Linked DNA regions of Stegostoma tigrinum. The protein of the gene in region 2 purifies or fractionates together with the protein of the main gene of each other region. This does not show direct contact. Links are inferred from orthologs where the notes say so. Each region holds a gene or a part of one and is shown on either strand. Other genes may lie near its edges. The genes, in order: katnbl1 and katanin p60 ATPase-containing subunit A1-like.

The links.
Region 1: the proteins of katanin p60 ATPase-containing subunit A1-like (region 2) and katnbl1 purify together in Homo sapiens (affinity purification with mass spectrometry; 3 studies listed by BioGRID and IntAct, counting the BioPlex papers as one, with this or other methods). This does not show direct contact. The link is inferred for Stegostoma tigrinum from reciprocal best matches to the Homo sapiens genes KATNA1 and KATNBL1.

Annotation. Positions count from the first base shown.
Region 1 is NC_081363.1:67,765,356-67,775,805, forward strand, and holds the start of katnbl1 (KATNB1-like protein 1), read right to left. Parts: upstream 5,943-10,450; 5' UTR 5,704-5,942; intron 1-5,703.
Region 2 is NC_081357.1:93,796,358-93,806,807, reverse strand, and holds the start of katanin p60 ATPase-containing subunit A1-like, read right to left. Parts: upstream 6,223-10,450; 5' UTR 6,107-6,222; coding exon 6,098-6,106; intron 1-6,097. Other genes in the region: ppil4 (peptidyl-prolyl cis-trans isomerase-like 4), read left to right, coding at 6,367-6,436, 7,415-7,482, 9,929-9,993. UniProt on the Homo sapiens protein: Catalytic subunit of a complex which severs microtubules in an ATP-dependent manner. Microtubule severing may promote rapid reorganization of cellular microtubule arrays and the release of microtubules from the centrosome following nucleation.

The DNA.
Region 1 (10,450 bases), on a different chromosome or scaffold from region 2:
TCATGCAAAAGATCCCATGGTACTATTCTGAAGAGGAACAGGGCAGTTATTCCCAATAGCTAATAATTATCCCTCAATCAACATGCCAAATTCAGATTAGTTGGTTGTTATCATATAATCTGTGGGATTGGCAAAGCACAAATGGGTGTTGTTGTTCCCCATATTAAAAAAGGGCTCCAAATGTTTTGAAGCACTTTGAGACAGCTGCTGGTATGAAAAGCACTGCACAAATTTAAGTCTTTTCAACAGTTTCAGACGCCCTCTAGTCCATCTGTTTGCTATTTGTATGCTCAAGATAACAATACACCAGCTCCACCCCTCCTCCCACTCACACTCAGGTTTCCAATTTTCCATCTGTTCCATTGCCCTGAATTATAACCAACAAAAAAAAAAAACAACACCCTTTTCCTCAGTCAAGGGTTCCCCACCACTGTGTTGCCTTGTGTGCCTTATTCATTTTCTGCACTCCCCTCAGCATTTTGTTCCCCTCTCACCTGCCTACGTTGCCTCTGTATCATAGTTGGTTTCCACCAACTCCAGTGAGATTCCACTATGGGACACATATTCCCTCTCTCCCGTCAGCATTCTGCAGAGGCCATTCCCACCAGGACACCTTAGTCACTCCCAACACCTGTACAGCACCTGCCCATACAATCATAGAAGATGCAGCACTTGTCCATTTATTTCCCAATGACCCAAGATCCAAGATACATGTTCCAGGTGAAGCAGTGATTTGCCTGCTCTTCATTCAATCCAGTCTCTGTATTCATTCCTCCAATGTGGCCTCCTTTACACTGGGAAGATGAAATGGAGAGTGGGTGATCACTTTGGTGGTAAAAATGACTGACTTTCTGGTCACCTTCCACTTCAATATAGCACTATATTCCCATGTCAACATTTCAGAACCACCCACCCATGTTCACGACCTGTCCTCACACCCTTAAATCCTGTTCTGTGTGGGCTGCTCCCAGTACAGCCAGTTTCAACCATTTACATGTCTCATCAGCACCTGACCCAGAATTTCTCTTGGTTGGCCAAGAGTAATCTCTTTGTTTGACTATCCCTTTTCACTCTTTCTCAGTTTCATCTTCAGGTGCTCTATTTAACCTCCACCACATCCCAGCTATTTTCAGGTCTGACGAAGTGTCACTGGACTCAACGCTTTATTTCTGTTTTCTCTGCACAGATGGTGCCAGAGTTTCTGCAACACTTGTTTTACATTTCCAGCATCTGGATTTCCTTGATTTTTAAATAATATAAATCTATGATTTTAAAATCAAAAACATACTCAATCACTATTCTTGAATATGCAGTTCCTCTCCAATTAAACTCAAATTAAACAGTGTCACCTGAGACTTCCTTTTTAATTAACATACAGTGCTTCCTTCAAAACTATCAGGTGTTATTTCAGGAACTATTGATACATATAAGCCACAAATGAAGGCCTATAGAAATGCATCAACAGCTTATCATATTTTGCACAGTAATTCTGCTTGCAATGTTGCATCATTTATTTTAGTTGTTACTCAGTGGCATCACAGGACAATAAATTTAACAGTCTGCTATACTTGACAATATATTCAAAAGGTACCATATTAGGTAAGTTTAACACTGGATGAATCTTGCCATGCAACTGGGTGCCCCTATCTCCGAACCACAAATCCCACCTGCAGCAGAGGTGTATAATAACATCTCTGAACAGGTTGATTAGAAAAATAGGTTAACAAAAACAAAAAAAAAGTTTATGAACAATTACCTTAAAAAAATTTGCCTAAAGCTAATTTAGGCATGCCAAACAACGGAGCCTCTTTGTTTTTTCAAAAGATTACTCAAGTGATTTGATCAAGTATGCAGCCGCTTTAAAACCTTCATCCCCGCTGTGGCCATGCAGCAACTCAAAAGTTCGAATGCTCTCATGCAGATCGTGCACAAGTTGTTGTTCAACTTTAGACTGAACATTGGAATTAAATGTAGTTCCAGAATTTTGCAACATTGGAACCTTTCTGCTTTTTCATTATTTTTACTGCTATTACTTTACTAACTTTGATTGGAACTAATGACGAGTGGACTTTGGGAAACAGCCTGGTAAAAGGAAACGAACAGACTAAACAAACTTTTTTGCTTATTTGGGATGGCAGACTTGGAGGTTAACTGTAGGCTGATTCTTGATTCAATGGGTTTGAAGAGGCACAGCTGCCCTGCGAACAGCATTTTGTTTAAACAGATGGCAGACTTTGGCTAGTAAGGAGGTCAACACCTGGGAATTGGTCCCAGCAAGTCTGGAAGAGATCCTATATTCAAGGAAATGATGGATGTTGAGCAATCATTAAGGACCCGGGAAAAAAAAACTTCAAAAAGGAGACTACACAGCATCAACGATGTCACCTAGAAGGGGGTGACATGAAATGTCTGAATGAAAACCAGTCAGCTTGGGACACCAAACCAACAACTCCATCTGCTGACCTTGTACTTCCAGACAGAAGCTGTCGTGGATTTAGAAGGTGGCAAGGATCGTTGGCAACCTGCCGTACTGCTCAGGAGCAGCAGTACTATTTAAGAGATGCATTAGTTACGGAGGGAGTGGATGTGGTAACTATCAAGCTGGCCACTGTGTTCCATTTGGTATCAAATTTCTTGAATGTTGTTCGAGTTCTACTCATCCACGCATGTGGGAGTTCTCCATCACATCCTGACTTGTGCCGTGTAAATGGTAGACAGGCTTTGGGAGTCAGGAGATCAGTTACTTGCTGCAGTATGCCTCAATCCTGACCTACTCTTGTAGCCACTGTGTTTATGTGGGCAGTTCAGTTGAGTTTCTGGTCAGTGGTAGCCCCAAGCTTATTGACTGTGGGGGATTCAGTAAATGGTAAAATGATTGAACTTCAAGGGATGGTGGTTAGGTGGTTATTGCCTGGCATTTATATGGCATGAAAGTTACTTGCCACTTTTCAGCCCAAGCCTGGATATTGTCCTGATTAATGCATTTGAACTTGCACTGCTTCAGTACTGCAACTACATGCCCAACTATTAAGTAAGGTCATCGCTGATCTGATTATGGCCTAAACTCCACTTTCCAGCCTGCTCCTATAATCCTCAATTGCACTGTTGATCTAAAATCTGTTTAACCCACTTTGACTAGCCTCAGTGCAAGCCTCCACTGCTTTCTCCAGAAGAGTGTTCCACATCCAACAGAAAAAACATTTTCCCCGAACTTAAAAGGGCGTCCTCTTAGTTTTAAACTGTGGCCCCCTAATACTAGCTTCACCCGTATCAGGAAATATCCTCCCAGCATCCACTTCATTAATTGCCCTCAGTATCGTGTCAATAAGATCATCTCTGAATCATCTAGACTCCAATGGGTACAGCCCAATCTATTCAATCTTTCTTCTGCGAAATGAGTCAAGTGGACCTCTGAATTGCTTCTAACATAATTGTATATCTTCCGAATAAACAGACCTAACTGTATATATTTCATATACCTTGGTGTGAAGCTGGATGAACACAGCAGGCCAAGCAGCATCAGAGGAGCAGGAATCTCAGATTCTCCAGCATCGTCAGTTCCTACTATATATGAAATATATTCAGAGATGTGGTTTTACCAAGACCCTTTACAGATGTAGTAAAATTTGTCTTTTATCAAGTCCATTATAGGTCAACAGCATACTAAGTGTTATTTATAACTGTAAACGCTCCCCGATACTGACAATTAACTACTGTCAGTAATAAGGCACATTGCTTAAGGTCCTAAATATTTAAGAATTTAGGAATGTATAATTTAAACTTTTTTTTTGGTTTTCTCCCATTCCATCATTCTTTCCCTCTCCATTTTTCTTCCTGGGTCATAGTGTATCGCTTGTAATGACTTCTCCCGGATACTGGTCTGTTGTGAGACCAGAGTATTACCAGAAATGACAGTATTTTGATTTGCATTAAGAACTACTGTATCTAGTAAAACAATTGAACAGATGCGAAACACTCAAAACCAGGAAAGAGAAACCAAAAAAATAGCATACTGAAAAAGATCTTAAAGTGGAAATTTGTCACATAGTAGTATGTAGCCAAGCTCTGAATCCTGCTTTATTGTACACTTAGTACATTCCCCAGTTTTTAAATTACTCTTGAAGTTAACATAATGATTCAAACAAAACAGGGGTTAAGAAAGGATTCTTAAAAACATTAAGAGAATTTAAAATCAATAATATTGCAATCATCTTGGAACATCTGCAATTTTCAATTACAGTAATTACAATGTGGTATGAATTTATTTCTTTAACCATTAGGAAGATGTTACAAGAACTCAGGATTCAGACATCATTTTAAATAGTATTACATACAAGGTTAGGTTTTGTGTGTTCTTTTCACATTATTGCGAATGATGTCAGTGTAGCTCAAGATGTGCTCAAGTCAGTGGAAGACATTAAAAATCAGGAAACCCTCTCTTAAAACTCACTGTCTAGACCTGACAGCAGTTCAAGTATTAAAGTTCATTAATGCAATGTCACTTATTAGTGACAAGTAATAATTAATTTACATCTACACAAACACTTTGTTTATTGATATTACTTGGCCATAAATGAAGTGGTTTGGAGATGTTGCCTTCCTGATGTTTAGAAATCACAGGTACAGGAAGAATTTAAATAACTCTCTCCTATAAAATGTTAATGCAAAAAAGCTCAATGAGACTCTGAAGCAGACAAATGAAATATTGTTGTACAACTGTATAACATTTCAATGGGATTAATGACCATTCAATATTTTTGACAGTCTTGATCAGCATGAATATTTTTTGCTATAATTCCAACAATATCACCAATCTGAACCATGCTGTGATTTTCTACCAGGTACATTCACAAATGTCCCAAGTAAAATAAAAAGTTTTTAGAAATCCTAATCCTCTTTTATCAAGTGTTTTGAAAAAAAAAGAATGAAAAATCATAGAATCTGCTTCATAGTCTTATGGTACAGAACATTCTATTGATACAGTAGGTTTATTTAGCCACCATTATCGGCAGGTCTCACCATTCAGTGCTGTCCATTCACATCATTCAAAACTCAAGGCATCCCACAAAACAGGATTCCGAGGAAGTAACAACTTCACACTTAAAACGAGGCCAGGTTCAAAAACTGAACAGATTTGCTTGTTCAAATAGTAAGGTAGCTTTGCAAGTTAACATTCGCAGCAGCTATAAATAAATCACCAGTTGTCATACAGTAAAAATCTGCCTGCCAACCAATTCCACAAAATGCGGTTTTGACAACTTTACCCTTTTTAAACAGATTTCCCTTCATGCCACTCCTAGCCAGGCAAACAAAATGGATCCAAACGAAGCTAGATTTTCCAATAAGATCCGTCGCGTCTTTCAGGATAAAAACGAGATGAAGAGTCCCATCCCCAATTTTTGAAACCAAACAAGCGTTTTCAGAATTTATAAAATTAACCATAAAGTCACATAAAAGGTCGTGGTTTGAGTTTTAATTGTTAACGACGAGTTGTCTTGCATTGATTACGAGTACGCGGGCAGTTAGTTGGAACTGGTTTAAGAGCTTCTTAGCAAATAATTTTGAATTGCAGAGAAACACAGCCCTCTTTTTAAAATTAATGTCAATCCACCCCACCCCAAAGTCCCAACCAGCAGAAACTGTCCAAGTGTGAGGCCCCGAGCCGAGTCTCCTGCCACCACGGACAGCAAGGGGGCCACTTACCAGGACATTTTACAACATTTCAGTGGGAGTGCAAGCGATTAGAATTTGCCCCTCCTCTCCCCTTTCAGGCGCTAACAGGCCGCACCGGTCTTCTCTCCCTTTCCCTGAACCTTCGCCATTCAAAACAGGCCCTCAGCATGCCGGGACGGCTGAAACCTCCCAACCGGAGGACTGGGCCCACGGCATGCCGGGACGGCTGTGTGATCCCAGCCGGAGGACCGTGCCAACTCGGGCCCACGGCATGCCGGGATGGCAGAGTCCTCCCAGCCGGAGCGTTAAGAATGCACGAGGCCAATGCAACGCCTACCCCAACTCCTGATAGGAGCGTTCCTGCTGTTTAAATGATAACAGTCAGCAAAACAAGTGGTGTAATTGTGGGACAAGCTCTTGGAAAACGTGTGAGCGGAATTTACTGAGGAGTAGCTGTCTCGCCCAGGAAAAGGAATTCCATGCCCACATTTCACAACAGTAAGATGTAATTTGGCATTGAAAAGCCCACAATCACAGTCACTTTGAGAGCTGATGTCAAAGATCAAGTACTTCCCGTGTGAAGTTAAGGTGTCAAGTGGGTATGGTGTAGGACGCTGTTGGTGCGTGATGCAGTAGAGAGGTGGGTGAAGTAGGCTGCGAAGTGATGTGGAATGTCAAATAGGAAGGGGTGGGGGGTAGGATGGCAAGTAAGTAGGGTGCCAGATGTTTAGTATGCCAAGTAAGTAGGGGGTAAGGAGCAAGGTGGCAAAGGGGCCAAGCAAGTGATGTAGTTGTTACACAAGGTCAGTGGGAAGTCAATAATAGGTCTGTTCTGAGGGCTGTTTGTTGGGTCCCCAGGCAGGGGAGTCTGATCCACTGGTGAGGAACTGGGTATTCAGGAATGCAGGGGAAGGTGGATAAAGGCAAATCAGGTCTGTGTTGGAGTGAAAGAGAACTGGGCCTTGAGAACGCCGGGGCAGATTGTTCTGATTGCCAGTGAATATAGGGTTAACTGATGCCGTCCTCCTTCAATGTCAAACGCATTATCCCAAGAATCTGCCTGGTGAACTTTTATTGCAGTAGCATCCCATAGCCAGAGCATCCTTTTTCAGATAAGGAGACCACAACTGCTCACAATACTCCAGGAGTAATCTCACCAAGACCCTACACAATTGAAGCAACTCATGTCTGTTCCTGCTCCTGTAACTTGAATTATTTTGCTGTGAATCCAACATACCATTTGCCTTTTTCATTTCCTGCTGCACCTGCATGTGTACTTTCAGCAACTGATGTATTTACCCAGGTATCATTGCACAGCTTCCCCCCCCCACCCACCCCAGCCTGTTTCCAAATCTATCACCATTCAGATAATAATATTTTCTGTTTTTGCTACCTCACATGTGATAACCCCTCATTTACCAACATTACATCTGCATTGTATTTGTAGATTCTTGCAAATACATGTGCTGTTGCACTACTGTTTTCAGTTTCCTTCAAATACTTCAGCCAGATTACCCTATCATCCACAAATGGTCTCTAGGCTGTGTTCAGTCTCAGGGAGATTTCACTGCGGGTCAGACGATGCTTGTCCTCTGGATTCTCCCTCAAGTTCCTCTCACTGGCTGTCCAGGAATTGATTATGGGCCTTGGTTGCTCTCTGCGGCTCCCAATCCTTAGCTCTTTCCATTTCAGCTGATTCACTCCTGCAGCATCAGGCCCCCAGAGAATCAGCAGTTCACTCACCTTCTCAAATGCAATATCAACATCTGGCTGTTCCTCTAACCAGGACTGCTAACTTTCCCATTCCTGGAGTGTCCTCTAACCATCCCACACGTACAGGCCTGTTTTTCCCTTTCCCAATATTTCTATCGTTAATATACCAATGTTAAGAGAGGAAAGATCAGTTCTTAAAGCCACAGTAATGTTTTCCACTGCCTGGCAGTGTTCAGGAAGTTAAGCTTTAATTCTTGGAGACTTCAACCCAGGGGATATGGCAACCCTACCTCCCACTGTGGCCGAGCTCCACAATACAGCCGCCGTGCTACTATCCACACTACCCCATCCCCTACTCCCAACAAATATCAGGATGATAAAAGTACCCTTTATCATTCACTGAGCCGTGTCCTAGTTCTGGTAGCTGTCAAGCTCCTCTGAACCTACCCAAACTGACCCCAAACGTGAGACATACAGCATCTTGCACTTCACTGCCACATACCTGGGTTGTCTGTCTTGGACCTGGCTGATAGTGATGCCAGTGACCACAGGGCCTGGTGCAGAGGCTAAACTCCACAGCTACACATTTCTGGTGCAGTACCCTGCAGAAGTCTAGGAGACAGCCTAACCCCCAAACCAAACAGCAACAGTTCAAGAAGGCAACTCACCACCACCTTTTCAAAGGCCACCAGGGATTAGAACTAAGTGTTGACGAAAGAACAATTTCCACATCCCATGAATGAATTTTAAAAAAATACTACATTAAGGATAGAATCTGGAGCTAATTTTCTGTTTCCTTTTCACTCCAATGTGAGAGAGGCAGTCCATTTCAGAAATGCACAGGAATTGCCTGTACCTGAATGAACTTTACCAGAGACAACCAATGCATGCAACCCAGGAGAGAGAGGTCTGAGCATCCCTATGCCTTTAAATGTTGACAGTAACTTAAAAGCATGTGATCGAGAAGATATTGAAATCTTGCTACAGTAAGCTACAACAGCATAAGGAACTGGAACATGATTCAGCCATTTGGCTGATCAAATCTGCTCTACCAATCAATAAAATCATGTCTACTCTGACTGTGGCCTTACCTGTACTTTCTTGAAATTTGGCCATAACCTCTGACTCTCACATGGATCAAAACCAGGTAGTGATCTGGGGACCCGGGCTCAAATTCCATCACAGCAGATGGTGGAATTCAAGTTCAATATCTCATTTAAAGAGTCTAATGAGGATCCTGAATCCATTATCGATTGTGGGAAAAACCCATCTGGTTCACTAATGCCCTTTAGGGAAGGAAACTGCCATCCTTATCTTGTCTGGCCTACGTGTGACTCCAGACGTGCAGCGATGTAGTTGACTCTTAACTGCTGTGTGAGCAATTAGGAATGAACAATGAATGCTGGTCTGTCCAGCAATGCCCTCATGAATGAATTGAAAATAAACCTCTAACTCAGCCGTGCACATAATCATTGACCCAGCCTCCACTGCTCTCTGGTAAAGACAATTTCAAAGATTAGAAATTCTCCAGGATCAAAAAAACACTTTTGTTTCTACCCACTGTAAGTGATCCCTTAAAGGTACACCCTTCATCTGTCTTTCTCCGTCAGTACCAATCCTATCATGTGAGGCCGGAAGTGGCTTGAAGACATCCAAGACACTGGGGTGAAGAGCATGACAGAAAGGTCAATGTTCACGTGGGTCTGAAAATTTCTCAAATGCAAATCATTCAAATCATCCCACTGCTGAAAAGTCAGGTCACGTTATTCCCGACCCCCAGAGCAAGTGCAACAGATTGACGTCCAGCATCTGAGGTGAGCTTTCCAGAAAGTTCTCAGTCGTTCCACATCTCACAGGCTTTAGCCATGGACTGATTCCCTTCATTAGTTTACACAGTGAAGAATAGAAGCTGTACGGACATAGGGCCCAGGAATGGAAGAGGACCATTTGGCTCCTCAAACTTTTTTGCCATTCAATAAATTACAACTGCTTTGTTTTTGGTGTCAGCTCCACTTTGCTGTCTGTCCTGTATAATCTTGACTCTCCTGCTGATCAAAATTCTATTAAACTCAACTTTGAATACATTTGAGAACTCAGTTTTTGGGGTGACACATTCCATACTCCAACAAGCCTCTAAGAGAAAAGATATCTTCTCATCTCTGTTTTAAGCTTCTCTCTTAAACTGTTCTCCCTTATTTTTGTCTCCTTGACAAAACTCCCTCCCAGTATCTACCTTATCCGGTCATCTCATGGTTTTATGACTTGCATTCTCATTCTTCTAAACTCCCATGGTTATGAAACTAACATGTTTATTCTTCAGAAAATAATTCCTATGTTGCACGACTGAAAGCACAACATTTGCTTACTGGAATAAAATGTGAAAATGCTGGAGAAACTCAGAAGTTCTGTTTTGAGGAAGTCATATTGGACTTGATGAATTAACTCAGTTGTGCTGGACAGGCTGAGATTCTCCAACATTTTCTCAGGTATGGCCTGACTGGCAGATCTCTGATGAAGGGTCTAGGCCCGAAACGTCAGCTTTTGTGCTCCTGAGATGCTGCTGGGCCTGCTGTGTTCATCCAGCGTCACATTTCATTATCTATGGCAGATCAATAGGATGACTTATTGTGATGTTCTGAAGGAAGGGCAAGATAGAAGGAGGCCTGATTGAACATACGGCAAATAGATGCTGCTGCTGCTGAAGATGTTTAGGCTGCTGTCTGCTATGGTTTCTCAAAGTCATACTTTAACTATTCTTACAGCTCATTCATATGAAGGTCATATCATTCAGTCACCAAGGTATTAAGACAATACAACAAATCATGATAATCTGAAAATTTGCTCGGGTTCCACTTATTTGACTGCACCTCCATCAATGGCTTTTCTTCCCACCCAGCAATGTTGTCTCTGGTTTCCTTCCAAAGTTATATGCCCTCCATCCTCATCTATATGGGATGTCTTGGAGATATGATCCAGTGACTAAGGGCCAACTTTAACAAGTTCAGCAAACTTTATTTAACTGGCACATGTAGGATGAGGACTGTGGCCATTGATCAAATATTCT
Region 2 (10,450 bases):
GGAAGTGCCAGAGGATGATGGGATGGTACGTGAGGATGAGGGGGATTCTATTTTGGTTCTTATTGCAGGGACAGGGTGTGAGGGATGAGTTGTGGGAAACATGAGCGATGTGGTCGAGGGTATTTTCAACTACTGTGGAGGAGAGGTTGCAGCCCTTGAACTAAGGTTTCTACCAGCTAAGCCAAGTTGAGTAATGATCCTAAGGCAGCACTCTATTATCTGGCTAACATTCTTCCCTCAATGAACACCAAACAGAGAGATAAATTGGTTATTCAGCTCTCTGTTGTGGCTATATCTGGGCCTGGTTGTTCTTGGAACATAGAACAGTACAGCACAGGAATGGGCCCTTCAGCCCATGATGTTGTGCCGAATCTGATGCCAAAATTAAACTAATTCCTTCTGCCAGGCCTTGGTCCATATCCCTCCATTCCTTGCATATCTGAAAGTCCCTTCAATGCCCCTATCATAACTGTCTCCATTACTCCTCCTGGCAGCATGTTCCAAACTCCTACCACTTAACTACGTTAAAAAATAGTGCCCCTCACATCACCTGAGAACTCACACACCCCACCCTCTCACCTTAAGTGCATGTCCCTAGCTTTAGACATTTCAACTCTGGGGACCGTCAACCCTATCTATGCGTTTCTTAATTTTATGGACTTCCACCAAGTCTCCCCTCAGCTTGAGCCACTCCAGAGAAAACAACCAGGGTTTCTCCAGCCTCTCCTTATAGCTCATACACTCTAATCCAGGCAGCGGCTTGGCAAACTTCTTCTGCACCCTCTCCAAAGCCTCCACATCCTTCCTTCCAAAACTGAGCCTAAGACTCTTAAGTGCGGCTAACCAAAGTCTTACAAAGCTGCAACATAACATCTGACTCTTGTAATCAATTCCGTAACCAACAAAAAGCATGCCATACGCCTTCTTTCTCATGCTCCCTATTTGTGTGGCCATTTCTCAGGAGCTATTGGCTTGTCACCCAAGATCCTTCTGTACAATGCTGTTCAGGGACCTGCCATTAACTGTTTCTTTTCCCTAACACTTGACTCCCAAAGTGCAACACCCCATGCTTACCTGGATTAAATTCCATATGCCATTTCTCCACCATGTCTGCAACTGACCTGTATTCTCCTGTATCTTTTGACAACATTTTCCACTATCCACAATTCTAGTGATCTTTGTGTCATCTGCAAACTTACTAACCCACCCATCTACATTTTTATCCAAGTCATTTATATATGTCAGAAACTGTAGAGGTCCTAGCACAGATCCCTACGGACCACCAGTCATGGACTTCCAGCCATAAAAACACCCTTCCTGTGCCTTGTATGGTAATTATGAATCCAAATGGCCAAGTCACCATGGATCGCATGCATCTTAATCTTCTGTATGACATTTCTGGCAAACATTTGCCAGATTGACAACTCTCTGGTACATTGCTTAATCGATACATTACATAATAAAAGTCAGTTCATACATTATTAGAAAAAATACAAAATGAAAACAGTCTTATTTCTGAATTATTGCGTTGTTAAAATATGCCTAAAACAATTTTGTCAGTAGTCAGCTTTAAAATTTAAGATCTGTATAATTAAGATAATTCTTTTGACACTTTCTTTACATTATAAAATCAATTTTGAAAGCACATTCAGATTAAGTTAGCATCTCAGCTGTATAAGAAACACAATGGTCACAACCATACAACTGGTTTGTTGAACCACATACAATACCTGTAATCATAGTGCAGCTATACAACTGAACAGCTTTATTAATAGCATAATAATTTTTCATTAAAATAGTAATCTGAAACCATTTTAAATCATGAAATACAATATGGTCATGGCCCACATCAATTCCAGTCTTCCAACCTGCCTCAATCCTCTACAATTTGCCAACTGACAATGCCATATCCCTAGCCCTGCACTCACCCTGGAACATCTGGACAACAAAGACACCTACATCAGACTCCTGCTTGTTGACTGCAGCTCTGCCTTCAACACCATTATTCGTTTGCAATGGATCTCAAAACTGTGTGGCCTTAATCTTGGCTCTGTCCTCCGCAACTGGGTCCTCAGCTTTCTGACCCATAGTGAGGATAGGTAACTGCACCTTCTCCACAATAACACAAAACTGGAGACCCCGTAAAGACTGCCCTCAGACCCCTACTGAACTCCCTGTACACCTACGACTGCATTGCCAAACTCCAAACAAATGCCATCAACAAAGTTTGCTGACAGATATTTAATAACGAGTCAAAATACAGAAGGGAGGTAGAAAGCTTGGTGATGTGGTGCAATGAAAACAACCTGTCTCTCAACACTGGCAAAGCTAAGGAACTGATCATCAACTTCAGAAAGAAAGGAGAACACGTCTCCACCTACATAAATGGAATTGAGGTTGAGATAGTGAAGAGCATCAAGTTCCTCAGAGTGATGATAATTGACAACCTGCCCTGGACTTCCCACGTAAACACAACAGTCAAGAAGACACAGCGCGTCTTCTTTCTCAGGTGGCTCAGGAAATTTGGCATGTCCTTCATCAACTTCTACAGATGCACCACAGAAAGCATACTATCCAGGTACATAACAGCCTGATATAGCAACTGCTCTGCCCAGCACTAAGAAACTACAGAAGGTGGCGTGCATAGCCCATGCCATCTCAGAAGCTAGCCTTCCATCCATGGGCTCTATTAATATGGTTCACTGCAGCTGAAAGGCAGCCATCATAAAAGACTCATCGTACCCTGGTAATGACCTCTACAACCTGTTCCATCAGGCACAAGATACAGAAGCCTGAACACATGCATGAGCAGGTTCAGGATCAGCTTCTTTTCAGCCATTATCAGACTGCTGAATGAACTCTAGCCTCAGATGATGTAACCTGCAATATAATCTGTATGCCTCGGTCTTCTTGATCTGTACGCCTCGGACTTCTTGATCTGTACATCCTGAGCTAGCTGTGATCTGCCTGTCCTGCTCGTAAACAAAGCTTTTCATTGTATTTTGGTGCACATGACAATCAATTTATGATTAGCCTTTTACCCCCACAATAAAATCACAGCTCCCATTTTTCTTGACTCGATTTTGTTTTCAAATAAGATTTTTCCATCAGTGTAATTCAACTGAAAATGGAAGCTAAAAATTGAATATTTATGAGCTTTAGGGCTATGGGTCAAGAGTTGGAAAATGGAATAGTGTACTCAGATCTTTGTTGACTGGTGTCAGACCCTGGCCCAGAATACATGTACAAGGTCCCAAAACGTGGCTTCAGCTCTTGTTTTGCTGATTGGTATTTGCTACCAGAAAGCTAAGGTGGTAAAGAAAATCAGTATATCAGTGAATCACACTTTTGTCACAATATTACACAGTGATTTTTAAACTAAGATCCGTAAAAAAGTGACAACAGTTTTCTCGTCATGGCCAACATTCCAGATGGGTAACTGTCTAGTGCAGGATAATCAAGAGTAAATGAATGAGCAATGGCTGAAGAAGGACTTGGCGTGAGCGAAGAGGCAGCAACAGAGTGCACTCACTATATTTACAGGGCTGAGCCGAATAGCTGTTTCACCCGACAGGGCAGTAGGCTTGGAGAAGCATTGAGAATGGCACAAAGTCAGCAGGTAGACTGAAGCTGCCAGGTGAAATCAGCTTTGTTTCAGAGTATTCTTAAACAAACAAAAAAAATCCTTTAAATATTATATACTTAAACAAGAAGAACTAAAATAGAAATTTAACCAGAGCATCAATTTCCCTAAAAGATCTAAGTCAGATTTGTGTGGAATGATACGAGAGTCATTGTCAAACATAAGGCCAAGGATACACAAAACTGCAGTGAGATGCAGATATATCAATGTTGCTGATGACCATAGTAAATACAGTACTGTACGTTTTCTTAAAAACATCATAAAACCTTTACAAGGTAAATGATAAGGTATTATCATTTACGTGAAGAATTCGCAATTTTAATCCATCCAAGATATTTAAAAACCAGGAACAAAAACAAAGTTGCTGGAAAAGCTCAGCACATCTGGCAGCATCTGTGGAGGAGACATTAACCTGAAATGTTAACTGTTTTCTCCTCCACCAGAGCTTCTCCTGCCAGAGCTTTTCCAGCAATAGTAGGAACTGCCAATGCTGGAGAATCTGAGATAACCTGGTGTGAAGCTGGTTTAACACAGCAGGCCAAGCAGCATCAGAGAAGCAGGAAGCCTGATGTTTCAGGCCTAGACCTTTCTTCAGAAATATTGAGAGATATAAAATGAGAATCTCTTCCCCATGGCAGACGTGTCAAAGGCTAAACGGCACAAGTTCAATGTGGAGAGCAAGTGGTTTAGAGGAGATATGACAAAATGTTTTCAGCCAGTGGGTGGTAGATATACAAAACATGCTGCCTGACTCTTGCAACACTTTAGAAGCATCTGGATGAGTACTTGAAACATTAGGGTACAGTAGGATATGGACCAAGTGCAGGTAAATTGGATTTGCATAGTTTGGCCAGCACAGATGTGGCAGGCCCATTTACCTCCTCCCTCACCAGTATCCAAGGGCCCAAACATGCCTTCCAAGTGAAGTAACACTTGATCTGCACTTTGCAGAATTTGGTCAACTGCATTCACTGCTCACAATGTGGTCTCCTCTACATTGGGGAAACAAACGGTAGACTGGGTGACCGCGTCACAGGACATCTACGCTCTGCTTGCAAAAAGACCCTGAGCTTCCAGTTGCCTGCAACGTTAACACACTACCCTGTTCCCTGGCCAACATGTCTCAAGCTTGCTCTAGTGTTCCAGTGAAGCTCAGCACAAGCTAGAAGGACAACTCATTTTTCGCTTGTGGACTCTGCAGCTCTCCAGACTCAATAGAATTTGATAATTTTAGGGCCCGAATCTCCCATGTCCTAGATCCCAACCCCACACACCAGTCCTCGTTATCACATAGCTTGCCATCAGACACCACCTATTGTTCATCACTAATAGTTCCTATTAACTGCTATTCACCTAATCGTTATCAACTCCTTTGTCTATCCAAATGCTGTTCTCTCTCTGGGCTCCATCCTTCATCCTTTCGTTCACTCTACCCCATCCCTCTCTCTCACTGATGTCAGGTTAACAAGTCTGTGGTTTTTTGTTTTCTCTCCATCTAATTTAAATAGCAAGATTACATTTGCTATCTTCCAAACTGCAGAATCTATTGAATTTTGGAAAACCAGTAATAACTCCATCATCTCTTCAGCCACCACTTTCAAAACTTGGAGACGTGGTTCATAGGGCCAGGGTAATTCACCGACTTTCAGTCCCATGTAACACATTCAGCATTTGATACGTGAAGTCACTACTCAAAGCCACGAATATTCTCTCGCTCAGTTCGGGGAGATTTTTTTTGCTTCATTTCCTCGTTTCAACGTTTTCCTCATGGCGGCAGCCACACACGTTTGCTGTTTTGCTACTTGTATTAAACTACACAACTTTGATGAAAGGTCAGCGAACCGAAAGGTTAACTCTCGTTTATGTTGGCTCATGATATTGTCTGACCCGTTAAGTGTTTTAGTATTTTTTTGTCTCATGTACCAGGAAGGCAGCAAGGACTGAGTCAGTGAGAAACAAACAAGAGGACATTCTGGAGGGGTCGTTGCACCCGAAATGTTAACTCTGCTTCCGCTCGACATATGCTGCTACACCTGTCGAGTTTTTCCCCAATAGTTTCTGGTTTTGTTTCTGATTTCTAACAACCGCAGTTCTTGGGTTTTGTGTTGTTTTTAAGCAACAGTTCGGAATGGGGTCAATCATCCCGGCCTGTTTGGAGCAAATACTGAAACACAGCCACGGCACTGATACAGAAGTGGACGGTGTCACTTACCCTCCATTGAAAAAAGTATCATGCAGAAATTTAAGTAAAACAAAAACTCTGTGGTGTTACAAACGAGATAAAATGTAGAGTACGAACTAGAGGGGAAGGGGGGGGGGATTGCAAGTGGAACCGAAGTTGTCCAGCATGCCTAACTTTTCCGGGTTCAGGTATCACAGCATTTGTTTATTTTATAACAGGGTAATGGAATATAGCGGTTGTAACCTTGACCCAATTAAACTATGCTGAAGTACCTGTTGCATCCAAGTACAGACGTACGAAACCGGTATACCGATCAACACGATAAGTAACCGCCGCCTAGAAACTCCTGTAGGTGACACGGATAACGATGGGGAGGAATGGACCTGGTGACGGCAGCGCAGGCGCATAGGACATGGACCCGGGTGACGGCAGCGCAGGCGCAAAGTATTGTGCCGCTTTCTCCGGCTGTGGTATATAGCTCTGAGCCGCGTCAGGTGACGCGATTCACCTGGCAGCCATTTCGCGACGTTGTTAAGACAAAATGGCGGTGCTGCTCGAAACGACTCTGGGAGATTTGGTGATCGATTTATATACGGAGGAGAGGCCGAGGGGTTAGTGGTAATTCGAAGAGGCAGTTCTCAGTACACATTCCATTCTATGGTTAGGCTTGTTCACATTTTTTGAACAAAAAAAAGTTCTGTAACGGGAGATGGAGAAGCCTCAGCGGCCTAGCTTTACATATTTTCAGCAGTATTATCCAACATCTGAAGACATCTCAAAACATTGCACCGTGGATTCAGTACTTAACTGTAGTCACTGTTCTATTTTAAGCAAAAACTCCTACAAGTATCGGTATGGTAATGACCAGATAATTTTAGTGATATTAACTGACAAATATTTTGCTACAGAGGAGAACACCCCTATTCAAAACAGTGGCCACTTTTGCATTCACCTGAAGGGTAGTGAGGGACTCGATTTGAGACAAGTACCGTGTTGCAGTATTAGTTTGGATGAGTGAGACTTGAACTATCCGTCCTGAAGAGGGATAGTAACCGAAATGTTGACTGCTCCTTTCCTCTAGATGCTGCCTTTCTTGCTCTGTTCGTCCAGCCTCCTGTTTGCTACCTTGGACGCGCAATTTCCTGACTCCCAGGCGCAAGAGACCCAGAATTATAGTTTTGTTTTAACAATGCACTGGCGATGTAAAGATGAAACTGTCCCAAAACATTTCACACTGGTAAAGCACGTTAAAGCGGAAATTAAGGCACTTTATTTCTTTGAAGCTTGATGCAGTTTAAAAGTAGAACTTTTGAGATTTGTGTAGTGTTTCACATGTGTAGAATTTGCCTCAGTGGCGGGGAGACGATTTAAAAAACGTCAATACCTAGCAAGAAAACGGAGTTCTGAAAAAGCAAGAAGGCATTTGAAACAAGGAGGGAGGTTGAGGAATGTGAAGAAACCAAAGAACAGTTATGTTGGTGAAAGATTGTTCACAATTAATAGATCAAAATTTCTGAAATATCAATAATTTCCTAATGATATCCTATTTGTTGTGAAATAATTTTGAGCTTAATTTTTTTTGTTTGTAGCCTGCTTGAATTTTCTGAAGCTTTGTAAGATCAAGTATTATAATTACTGCCTCATCCACAATGTTCAGGTGAGTTTCTATTAGCTTTTACAATCTTTAAACCTTGTAAATTTTCCCAGAAATGTTCTTCATAAATTGTTTGATCTGGTATTTTGTAATGTGTGTTATTTATTATTAACAACACAGAACTAGACTGTTTTGCATGTTAGCTTTTTTTAAAAATCCAAGGATCTCGTCACCCTTCAGAAAATGAGCTGTTTTCTTGAATCACTGTAGTCCGTATTGTGTCAGTAGTCCCATGAGAAAGAGTGTTCCAGGATTTTGACCCAGCATCACTCGAGGACCAATGGCACCCAAGTCAGTAGCTTGGAGGGGAACTTACAACTGGTGGTGAGAGATGGTAGGAACTGCAGATGCTGGAGAGTCTGAGATAAGGTGTAAAGCTGGATGAACACAGCAGGTCAAGCAGCATCATAGGAGCAGGAAGGCTGAATTTCTGAAGAAGGGTCTAGGCCTGAAATGTCAGCCTTCCTGCTCCTTTGCTGCTTGGCCTGCTGTGTTCATCCAGCTCTACACCGTGTTATCTCTTATTACAGCTGGTGGTGTTCCCAGGTATATTGTCCATATCCTATTAGATGGTAATGATTGTTGGTTTGGAAGGTGCTGTGAAGTTCTGCAGCGTATATTGTAGATGCTGCTATTGAGCATCAATGGTGAAGGGAGTGAATATTTGTGGATATGGTGCCAATGAAGTAGGCTGCTTTGTCCTGGATTGTGTTAACCTTTTTGAGCATGGTTGGAGGTACACTTATCCAGGTGAGAGGGTAGTAAACCATCACACTTTTGACTTGTGCTTTGAGGAATCAGGAGGTGTGTAACTTGCTGCAGAATTCTGAGCCTCTGACCTCCTTTGCAGCCACAGCATTTGTATAGCTAGTTCAGTTCAGTGTCTGGTCAATGGTAATTCCCCAGAGGTGTTGATATTTGGGGGTTCAGCAATTATAATGCTGGGAATGGTTAGATTCTCTCTCTGTAATTGGAAATGGTTATTGCAAGGGACGTGTGTGGTGCAAGTGTTGTTTTGATGCGGAGATGCTGTTGTTGTGCTAGGGTATACACTGTTTTCAGGGCATAGCCCCTTTGTCAGGTGCAGTGACAGAGAAGAGCACACAAACACATTGCGTGGAGTGTCGGATAATTCTTTCTCGGTGGCTAAGAGTGTTATGAGTGAAGTGTCAACAGGTGAATAACCAGTGAAGAGATGACCTGTGATCCAATTAAATGAGGCAGAGAGATAATCACAAAAAATTAAAACTGTGTCTGTGTGCTCTTCTCTGTCCCTGCACCTAACAAAGGGGCTGTGCTCTGAAAGGTTATAATTTCAAATAAACCTGTTGGACTGTAACCTGGTGTCATGTGATTTCTGACAAATGTTGTTTGCCATTTGTCAGCCCAAATCTGGATAATATAACCAAGTTGGACAATAATTGCTGATCCACCCAGTAATGCCCACATCCCATGAATAAAGTCAAATGCTAATGTGCTGTACTATCCGGTCCTCTCTACTCTTTTTTGATATTCAATATTGCTGTATTTGGAGGTGAACTGCTTATAATTTTAGTAAAGCCCAAATGGATTTGTGAACCGTGGTGAGTGTGCCACGTATTTATGGAATGTTCACTTGAACTGTGGAGAATAATTAAGATTTCACAGATTTAAATTTTCTTAGTCCATGGTCAGTAACAGCAAAGCCCTCCTTCACATCTTGGTCACCGACCCTTCCTCACCTCGTACCATCCGCTCCCATTCTTACTTGATCCTCACACCCTGTCTTACCTCACCAGTCCTTGCCTTTTACAGCTTCCTCTCCAACCCGACCCATTCCATTCCATCCCGTCCCCTTCCACCTGCCCCCTGCCCACTCGTTATATCCTGAATACCCCCCACCTACTCCATGTCGTCCACTCCATTCCATTTCCTCCAGCCTGTCCCCACCCATCCACTCCTACCCATTACAGCTCGCTCCCCCCACTTCCAGCCCATCTCACCGCCTGACAGGTCTAGCCCATCCGCCTCCTGCTCATTGCTCCCACCCATTCCATCATGTCCCCTCTCTCGCCTGTTCCACCCTGTCTCCTACTACTCATTCTTCCCCCCCGTCGCCCATCCATCCCTCCTGCCCACCCTTCTATCCTATTTGACCTGAACCCAGTCCCTCCCAACCCCACCCACCATCCCCTCTCTCTTTTATCCCGTTCCCGTCTCCTGTAATACCCCTTCCATCTTCCCTTTTTCACACTACCACCCCTTCCCCCTCACATCCTTTCCACTCCTCCTCCCCCACACCCCCTTTCCATCCCCTCTCTCACACTTCCTTTTTCCATACCTCTCTCTTAGATCCTCTTCCTGTCCCCTAATTTGACAGGTGAAACTTAATGCAAGAATTAAAACTTCAGTGCCTGTGTACACATCTGGTCATTTGTCATTTATTCAATTCTAATGTGTTTTGTAACAGAGGGACTTTATTATACAGACCGGTGATCCAACTGGCAGTGGTCGTGGAGGAGAATCCATTTTCTGGTTGGTGCCTTTCAAATATTTTAATGAAGTCAATAGCTGAACCATATTTCAGATTCTAATCAGAATTCTGCTAAATGATACCTTTCGCATTTCCTGCTGTTGAAGTCCAGTAAAGTTTCAGAAGCTGAGTTTGTAAACTTAAGTGAGGATCACAGCTGGGCTACTGGTAGCACTATTGCTACTGATTGATTCTGCATTCAAGTGAATCCTTGAGTGCCTATTGCCAGGCACGCTAGTGCAGTATTAAGGAAGAATACCATTTGTTTGAGATATTGTTTTTCAAGTGACAAGTTAATTTCTGTTTCCCTGTGTTGGTGGCCACAAAAAGCTGCCATGTCACTATTGGAAGACCAGTCAAGTTCTTTTGGTTTCCTGCCCAACACTCATCTGTCAGACAACATAGAAATGTTTTTATTGCTTCTTTATCGTAATGCCCAAGAGTTTCACAAGAGTATCA